2 linked regions of the Coturnix japonica genome follow. The protein of the gene in region 2 purifies or fractionates together with the protein of the main gene of each other region. This does not show direct contact. Links are inferred from orthologs where the notes say so. Each region holds a gene or a part of one and is shown on either strand. Other genes may lie near its edges. The genes, in order: C1QBP and ALYREF.

Region 1 (3,495 bases), on a different chromosome or scaffold from region 2:
GATGCCCGTGTCTGTGCTGCACGCTGTGACCTGCTGCCTCGTGTCTGTGTCCCTGCAGTTATCGCTGCCCATGGAGTCGTCCCGCTCCGACACCTCCAACATCCGCCGCTGTTTGGCTCACAGCCTCTTCATGAACGCGGCCGAGCTGCAGCCGGACGGCACCTACAGCACCGTCAGCTCCCACCAGCCCGTGGCCATCCACCCCTCGTCCGTGCTGTTCCACTGCAAACCCTGCTGCGTGGTTTACAACGGGCTGCTGCACACCAACAAGTGCTACATGCGGGACCTGTGCGTGGTGGACGCGGACTGGTTGTATGATGCAGCACCTGACTATTTCCGCAGGAAACTCAGAGCAGCCAAGAACTGAGTGGGGCTGCAGGGCTCAATACAGGGCTCAGTGCAGGGCTCAGTGCAGGGCTCAATGCAGGGCTCGGTGCAGGGCTCAATGCAGGGCTCAGTGCAGGGCTCAGTGCAGGGCTGGGCTGTGATCTGTGCAGGGACAGCGGGGTTTTGCATCGCAAACAGGTGTAAAACTGGGAGGAAAATGGCTTCTCTGTGAGAGGCAGCACTCATGGCAACCTGTGGCTTTGAACCATCGTGGTGTTAAGAGCTGCTGTGTAAAACGGGACCTGCTTTGTGCTGGTGTTTAACATTGAGCTGTAATGGATGGGGCTGGAAGGAAACGAGCCCAGCAGCTCCTGCAGCAAACTCTCTATTTGTTGATGGTTCAGTTTGTGTTCCGGGCAGGTTTTACCGATGGAAAATAAAGACAAATAAATAAATTTCTACATACAAGGAGCAAAATCAAAGTGCTGTTTCACTGTCAGAATGGAGGTGCCTCATCTGTCCGCTCGGAGCGCTGCTCAGCGCGGCTCCCCCCGCCCGGCTCCTCCTTTGGAACCTTCTGGTCTCTCCCCCAAGGTCACTCCGCGTTGTATCTCGTTCCCTCCCCTTATTACCGGGGGCGGAGCTCCGGAAGCGCCCCGATCCCGTCCGGGTCATTCTCCTCCTCCTCGTCCCGTTTCTCGCCATGCTGCTCGCTCGAGCCCTTCGTTCCGCCGCCTCGTTCCGCCCCGCTCTGTCCCCGCTCCGCTCGCTCTGGTCCGTCCCGCAGCCGCTCCCGGCTCGTTCCCTGTGGCAGCGGAGCGATGTTGTTGTTGGCTGGAGGGCGGCGCTGCTCAGACCGCGCCGGGGAACTGCGGGCGGCGTGTCCTGCGGCTGCGGCGGGCTGCACACGGAGGGTGAGTCGGGACGGAGCCGCACGTGGTGATGGAGGTGGGGGTGGATGCGGGGGGTGGTGCCGGTGCTGAGCGGTTTCTCTCTCCCCGCAGGGGACAAAGCGTTCGCTCAGTTCCTGACGGATGAGATCCAGGAGGAGCGGAAGATCCAGAAGCACAAAGCGCTGCCCAAAGTGTCGGGCGGGTGGGAGCTGGAGGTGCACGGCACCGAGGCGAGGCTGGTGCGCAAAGTCGCCGGGGAAAAGTGAGCAATGAAATAACGAACGGGAGCGATGCGAGCGGGGCCTTCCCGGCTGTGATGGTTTAACTCGTGTCCTTTGTGCAGGATCACGGTTACCTTCAACATCAACAACAGCATCCCGCCCGCTGTGGATGAGGACGCGCCGGAGGAGCAGAAACACGAGGAGCAGGAGGAGGTGAGCACAGCACAGAGCCAGGGGACCACAAAGGGCCGCCGTGTGCTCAGTCTGATTTTGGGAGTGGGAACACACAGAGCAGGACGGCCCTGGGAGACCCCCATGGACCATCCCACCCCCTGCTGAGCACTGCGGGCACCTCGTGGCTGTGCTGGCTCCTGCTCAGCCCTCAGCACTGATCGGCTGCTTCTCTCCTTCAGCCCGATATCACATCGACTCCAAACTTTGTTGTGGAAGTCATTAAGGATGATACAAAGCAGACCCTCGTGCTTGACTGCCATTACCCCGAGGATGAGGTGAGCTGTGCTCTGGGTTCCTGTGTCTGCACAAAATGCTGCCTCCTTCTTTTCTCCTCACACAGGTTTTATCTCTGTAAGGAAACTGATGGGATGGGTTTCTTTCTGCTCATGTCCTGACCTTCTGATCAGCTCAATGTGTGGCATTAAGGGGGTTGTGTTCCCACCTGCAGGATGAAGCAGCTGATGGTTCCCTCTAATTACAGCTAATACATCCTGTGCCTCATTTCCTATTTCAGGTTGGCCACGAGGGAGAGGAAGAAAGTGACATCTTCACCATTAGGGAGGTCAGCTTCCAGCCCACCGGGGAATCAGATTGGAAGGACACCAACTACACCCTCAATACGGATTCCCTCGACTGGGTAAGTGCTGCTGATTTACATTGTACTCCTATTCCATCATGAATCATTTGCTCACCCTGTTGGAGGTGATATGGCAGCTATTGGCACCAAGCAGGAGCACCAGCTCTATGAGGAACAAGGGGGGAGCCCACAAGCCTAATTGTATTGCAGTAGTTAAGTAGGATTTGAAGCTGTGCTCTGCTAAGGCTGTTTTCTGTTCCTTGTTGCAGGCTCTGTATGATCACTTAATGGATTTCCTGGCTGACCGAGGAGTGGATAACACGTTTGCTGATGAGTTAATTGAGCTCAGCACTGCGCTGGAGCATCAGGAGTACATTAAATTCCTTGAAGACCTTAAAAGCTTTGTTAAATGTCAGTAGGGAAGGAAAGCAGCGTTCAGTGTGGGCATTACACAGCAGTGCTCCACCAGCAGAACCACAACGTATCTTCACAACAGAGATGGAGTAACTGAATTGGGAATTGAGCATCACGGGACAGTGAGGGGCCTCACTTGTATTTATGCTACGTTGCAGCCCAGCTCAGGTTCTCAAACAGGACTGTCTGGACCTGCCTCCCCCTGCTGCATTTTGTACCATTAGGAATGAAGGTGAATAATAAAATGTGTTCAAAACTCCCTGAAAAGTAGTTGTTTTTTTCTTCATGTTGATCAGTTGCCATAAGGGATATCTGTGTGTTCCCTGACCTGAGAAGTTAATGCAGCTGCCTGCAGAGCTGGGCAGTGTTAGGCCAGTTTTTCTCCAGGGCTATTCTAGCCCAATCTAGTCCATCTGTACCTGTTAGTATCAACGCATCTGCTCTAGAAAAATACTGCAGACAAGTTGGAGCTCTTTCCTTGCAGTAATTCAAGTCCTGTGGATGCTGAACATCAGCAGCATTGCAGAGCAGCAGATTTGGGCTTCTACTCAACCTGCTGCGTCCAGGTGATGCCTCAAGGTCTGAGTCAGCCCCAGTGGCAGAGCAGGAGATGCTCCCGCACCATGCAGCCATGCATTAAAGAGCTGCCTCTTATTTCAGCTTGAAGGCAGCCAAGGACAGAACAACGAGAAGAGGCAGAATACTTTGTGACTATTGATCAACCTCCCTGTTGATTCCAGGGCAATACTTAATAGTCCTGAGTGTAGTGGGTAAGATTGTAAGGAGGAACCTGCTTTTAGAACAGAAGGATACATTAAAAACACTGTCA
Region 2 (3,909 bases):
ATTCCTTCTCCCTGCACTGTTTTTTTTTCACCTTAAGCTCAGCAGTGGGGCCCCAAGCTGTGCTCCATCCCCCAGTGCCTGTGGCACTACCCAAACTCCCACCCATTCCAGAGGGCACACAGCTCTGGGTGGGCACTGCTGCTCAGGGCACCCCTGTGTGCCCCAGATCCTGGTGGGCTCCCCCCAACCCCAAAGGCTTCCCTCCCCTTAAGGACAGACAACATCTTTCCATTCCACGTGCATTTATTGTCACTATAGTCACCGTGCCACCTCAGGCCCCCCCACACTCTGTGGAGCCCAAGGACACGGTTACAGCCACACTGCACTGCAGAGCACCGGGGACTCCCGATAGCAGCCGACAGCTCCGTAGCTTGGGGTCCACATCCATCACACACGGCACCTGTGGGGAAAGTATCACAGAGATTCCTGGGTGGGAACTTTGGAGCAGGGCTGCCCGCGGAGCCGGGCAGGTGGGTGTTCCTGGTATCAGGGCATTGCTGGGATCTGGGCGTTGCTGGGATCAGGGCATTGCTGGGATCAGGGCATTGCTGGGATCAGGGCATTGCTGGGATCTGGGCATTGCTGGGATCAGGGCATTGCTGGAATCAGGGCATTGCTGGAATCAGGGCATTCCTGGTACCAGCCCGTTCCTGGAGCGGAGCATCCCGGTACTCACCGCGGTGCGGAGCGGAGCAGCGGCACCTCTGCTGTCGGAGCGGCGGCTGTAGGGCAGGCGGCGGAGACCGGAGAGCAGCCCCGAGGCTCTGCCCACCGGGTAGGAGAGCGGAGCGGCCGCCTGCCGGTACCAGGGCGCGGCGGGGCGGCACAGCAGCATCACGGCTACAGCCAGAGTCAGGCAGCGGGCGGCTCGCATCGTGCCGGCGGGGGCGCAGCGCTGCGGAACGGCCGCTCCGGGTCTTTATGGCCGCGGCCGCCCCCGCCGCGCAGCACGAGGGAAAGCGCCGCTCCCCGCCCACGGAACCGGGACCGGAGCGGCGGGAGGAGGCGGGGAGGATCATTCCTTGAACTTCCACTCCTGGCGGCACATGGGGCAGTGCTGCTGGACCTGCTGCGAGTGCAGCCACTTGAGGATGCAGTGCATGTGGAAACAGTGCGAGCACTGCCCCCACACCAGCGGGCAGTCGTCCCCGGGCACTTTGCCTGCGGCGTGGACACAAAGTCAGGAAGGGCCGGGTCGCACCGGACCGGGTACCATACCGGGTACAGTACCGGGTACGGGACCGGGTACCGGACCGGGTACGGGACCGGGTACCATACCGAGTACCATACCGGGTACCGGACCGGGTACCATACCGGGTACCATACCGAGTACCATACCCGGTACCGGACCGGGTACCGTGCCGGGCCCCGCCGCACTCACAGTCGGGGCAGCAGCCGTTGAAGGCCATGCGGCAGATCCCGCAGTTCTCGTCGTTCGCCACCCACAGCCACGAGGCGACTCCGCTCCAGCTCCGCACCTTCACCCTCATCGCCGCCGGAAGTGCCGCTCTCCGGTCCGCGCCGCCCCGCCGGAAGTACCGCCCGCCGCCCCCACGAGGCCCCGCCAATCTGAACGCGCGCCTCCGCCCGCCGGTCCCGCCTCTTCCGCTTCCGGCGTCGGCGCAGCGCGGCCGGAAGCGCAGGCCCCGGAGCGGAGCCGCCATCATGGCCGACAAGATGGACATGTCCCTGGACGATATCATTAAGCTCAACCGAAGCCAACGCGGCGGCGGTCGGGGCGGCGGCCGGGGAGGCCGGGGCCGAGGCGGCGTCACCCGCGGGGGCGGGCCCGGTCGGGGCGGCGTGGGAGCCGGGCGAGCGGGCGGCGGCCCCGTGAGGAACAGGCCGGTGATGGCCCGGGGCGGCGGCAGGAATCGGCCCGCGCCGTACAGCCGGGTACGGGACGGGGGCGGGGGCGGAGCCCGGTCGGCGGGGCCCGGAGGGAGGGGGCCGGTGTGCGGGGCGGGGGGCGGCGGTTCGTGGACGGGGCGGGGGCGGTGGGACGGGCGGCCCTTTGTCCGTTGCCGGCGGTCGAGCCGTCCCGGCGGGACCCGGCGGCGCTCAGCGAAACGTCCGTGTCGTTCCAGCCGAAGCAGCTCCCCGAGAAGTGGCAGCACGATCTGTTCGACAGCGGCTTCGGGGCCGGCGCCGGGGTGGAGACCGGCGGGAAGCTGCTCGTCTCCAACTTGGACTTCGGCGTCTCAGATGCGGATATCCAGGTACGGGCTCGGCGCTGTTCCCGGGGGGTTTCATTCATTCCATCGGTGCTGGGTGCTGGGGGTGGCCATAGAGCATTGCTGGCCCTGCTCCCATTGGAAGGGCCCTTCACACGGTGCCTGGCCCTTTGCTTCACGCACTGCTGGGGCTCTGAGCTGAGCAGTTGGAGTGGCTGGATTCAGAAGAGTCCCAGTCTTTATGGAGCTGTAGGTAATCACATATGAAATATCTCTACCACGATGCTGTGGGGGGGATGTTGCCTTCGCTCAGTCCTGCTGTGATTGCAGAGCTTAGCACAGGCTGTGTGAGCTTTTAAGGTCTGTGTAATTCCAGACGTTCAGTAGCTCTATATATACATCTATTGGCGCTGTTTTCATAGTACCTGTTTATGTACTTTTTGTTAAAGTTTTGTTCAGTCTCAAGGTGTTCTTATAGAAGCACCAGTGATATTGAGAAGTCTGGTCTGTGAGGGGGTACCTGCTCGCTCATGTTGTCATTTCCACAATTACCACATGTATCTTATGACAGATAAATGTTCTAGCTGAGTTACCAGCTGCAGCTCAATCCCTTGTTCCAGCTGTGCCCTGGGTGCAGGCTGTTTGCAGTCACTGTGCCTGTGACACAGCAGTCACAGCTGTGGGGCTGCTCTTACTTGTGGGCAACAAGTTGTGCAGAAACATCTGCAGATCCAAGGAGCATCCAATCTGAAGGGTTTTCCTGACTTAGTCACATTGCAAAGAGCTTTGGATGGTTTCTGGTCCTTGCATCTCCTCTAGAAAAAAATAACTAAATCACTTCTATGTTTTCTTCTGTTAATTCATTCCGGTTCAACCTGTCTGCATCAGGAGTATTGGAAGTGAGCTTTTTTAGGTCACCTAGTTATTGAGCGATGCACTTAAAACCACTGTTTTTTCCTCAAGTGAGTTTAGTTTCAGTTGATATACATTTCCTGTTTGCTGTAATCAGGCCCAAACGTGTAAAAGTGAATCTGTAAAGTTATCTCAATGTAAGGAATTAATGTGTTTTGTGTGGCAGTTGAATGTTTCCTTTTCACAGTTGGCTTGAACTGCAGGAGCAGACAAACATCTGTGTATATTATATGTAGCAGCAAAGCTGACTTAATGGGTTTGTACCTCTTTGTTACTGCCCATCCCGTAATTTTCCACTAAGCTGCACTGATTGTTTTCTTTGTTTCTGTGCTGATTGTGTCATTAATATGGTTCTGCTCAGCTCAGTGCTGAGGAATGAGGGGCTTGGTGGGAGCCTCGTTCACGTTGCTCTTGTAGGAGTATGTGTGGTGCTGTGGCTCCAGCTTCTCTGCAGGACAGGGATGTGATGGAGCACCTCTCCTCCCATGTGGTGCTGTCTTCCAGAAAGCTTGTTGGGTGCTGTATGTTCATGTTTAGTAAATGGACACAGTAGAGAAACTCACTGACAGGCTTGCATAAAGTGCAGCTGGCTTAAGAAGTGAAAATATTTATATGCTCCTTTCAAATGCTTGGATAGGAATTATAGAGATGGCTGGAATAGTGTTTGGGCTCTGCTGCAGGTGATATGGAAGGCAGCCTGTGGTGTCTGCTTTGGACACCTGACAATTCTGTGTGCTTCAAACATTTGAAGAGTGGGGTGTAGGTATAAACTTGCAAAGTAGTGAGATGTCCCCAGATGTACATCTTAGATGTAGCCTCTGTG

What was found.
Region 1: the proteins of ALYREF (region 2) and C1QBP purify together in Homo sapiens (affinity purification with mass spectrometry; 3 studies listed by BioGRID and IntAct, with this or other methods). This does not show direct contact. The link is inferred for Coturnix japonica from reciprocal best matches to the Homo sapiens genes ALYREF and C1QBP.

What each region holds. Positions count from the first base shown.
Region 1 is NC_029534.1:2,454,642-2,458,136, forward strand, and holds C1QBP (complement component 1 Q subcomponent-binding protein, mitochondrial), read left to right. Parts: upstream 1-982; 5' UTR 983-1,030; coding exon 1,031-1,241; intron 1,242-1,331; coding exon 1,332-1,482; intron 1,483-1,563; coding exon 1,564-1,654; intron 1,655-1,854; coding exon 1,855-1,950; intron 1,951-2,189; coding exon 2,190-2,312; intron 2,313-2,521; coding exon 2,522-2,671; 3' UTR 2,672-2,933; downstream 2,934-3,495. Other genes in the region: ATP-dependent RNA helicase DHX33, read left to right, coding at 59-367.
Region 2 is NC_029533.1:4,445,234-4,449,142, forward strand, and holds the start of ALYREF (THO complex subunit 4), read left to right. Parts: upstream 1-1,575; 5' UTR 1,576-1,665; coding exon 1,666-1,896; intron 1,897-2,087; coding exon 2,088-2,219; intron 2,220-3,909. Other genes in the region: NPB (neuropeptide B), read right to left, coding at 272-400, 677-874; ANAPC11 (anaphase-promoting complex subunit 11), read right to left, coding at 1,016-1,161, 1,382-1,490. UniProt on the Homo sapiens protein: Functions as an mRNA export adapter; component of the transcription/export (TREX) complex which is thought to couple mRNA transcription, processing and nuclear export, and specifically associates with spliced mRNA and not with unspliced pre-mRNA.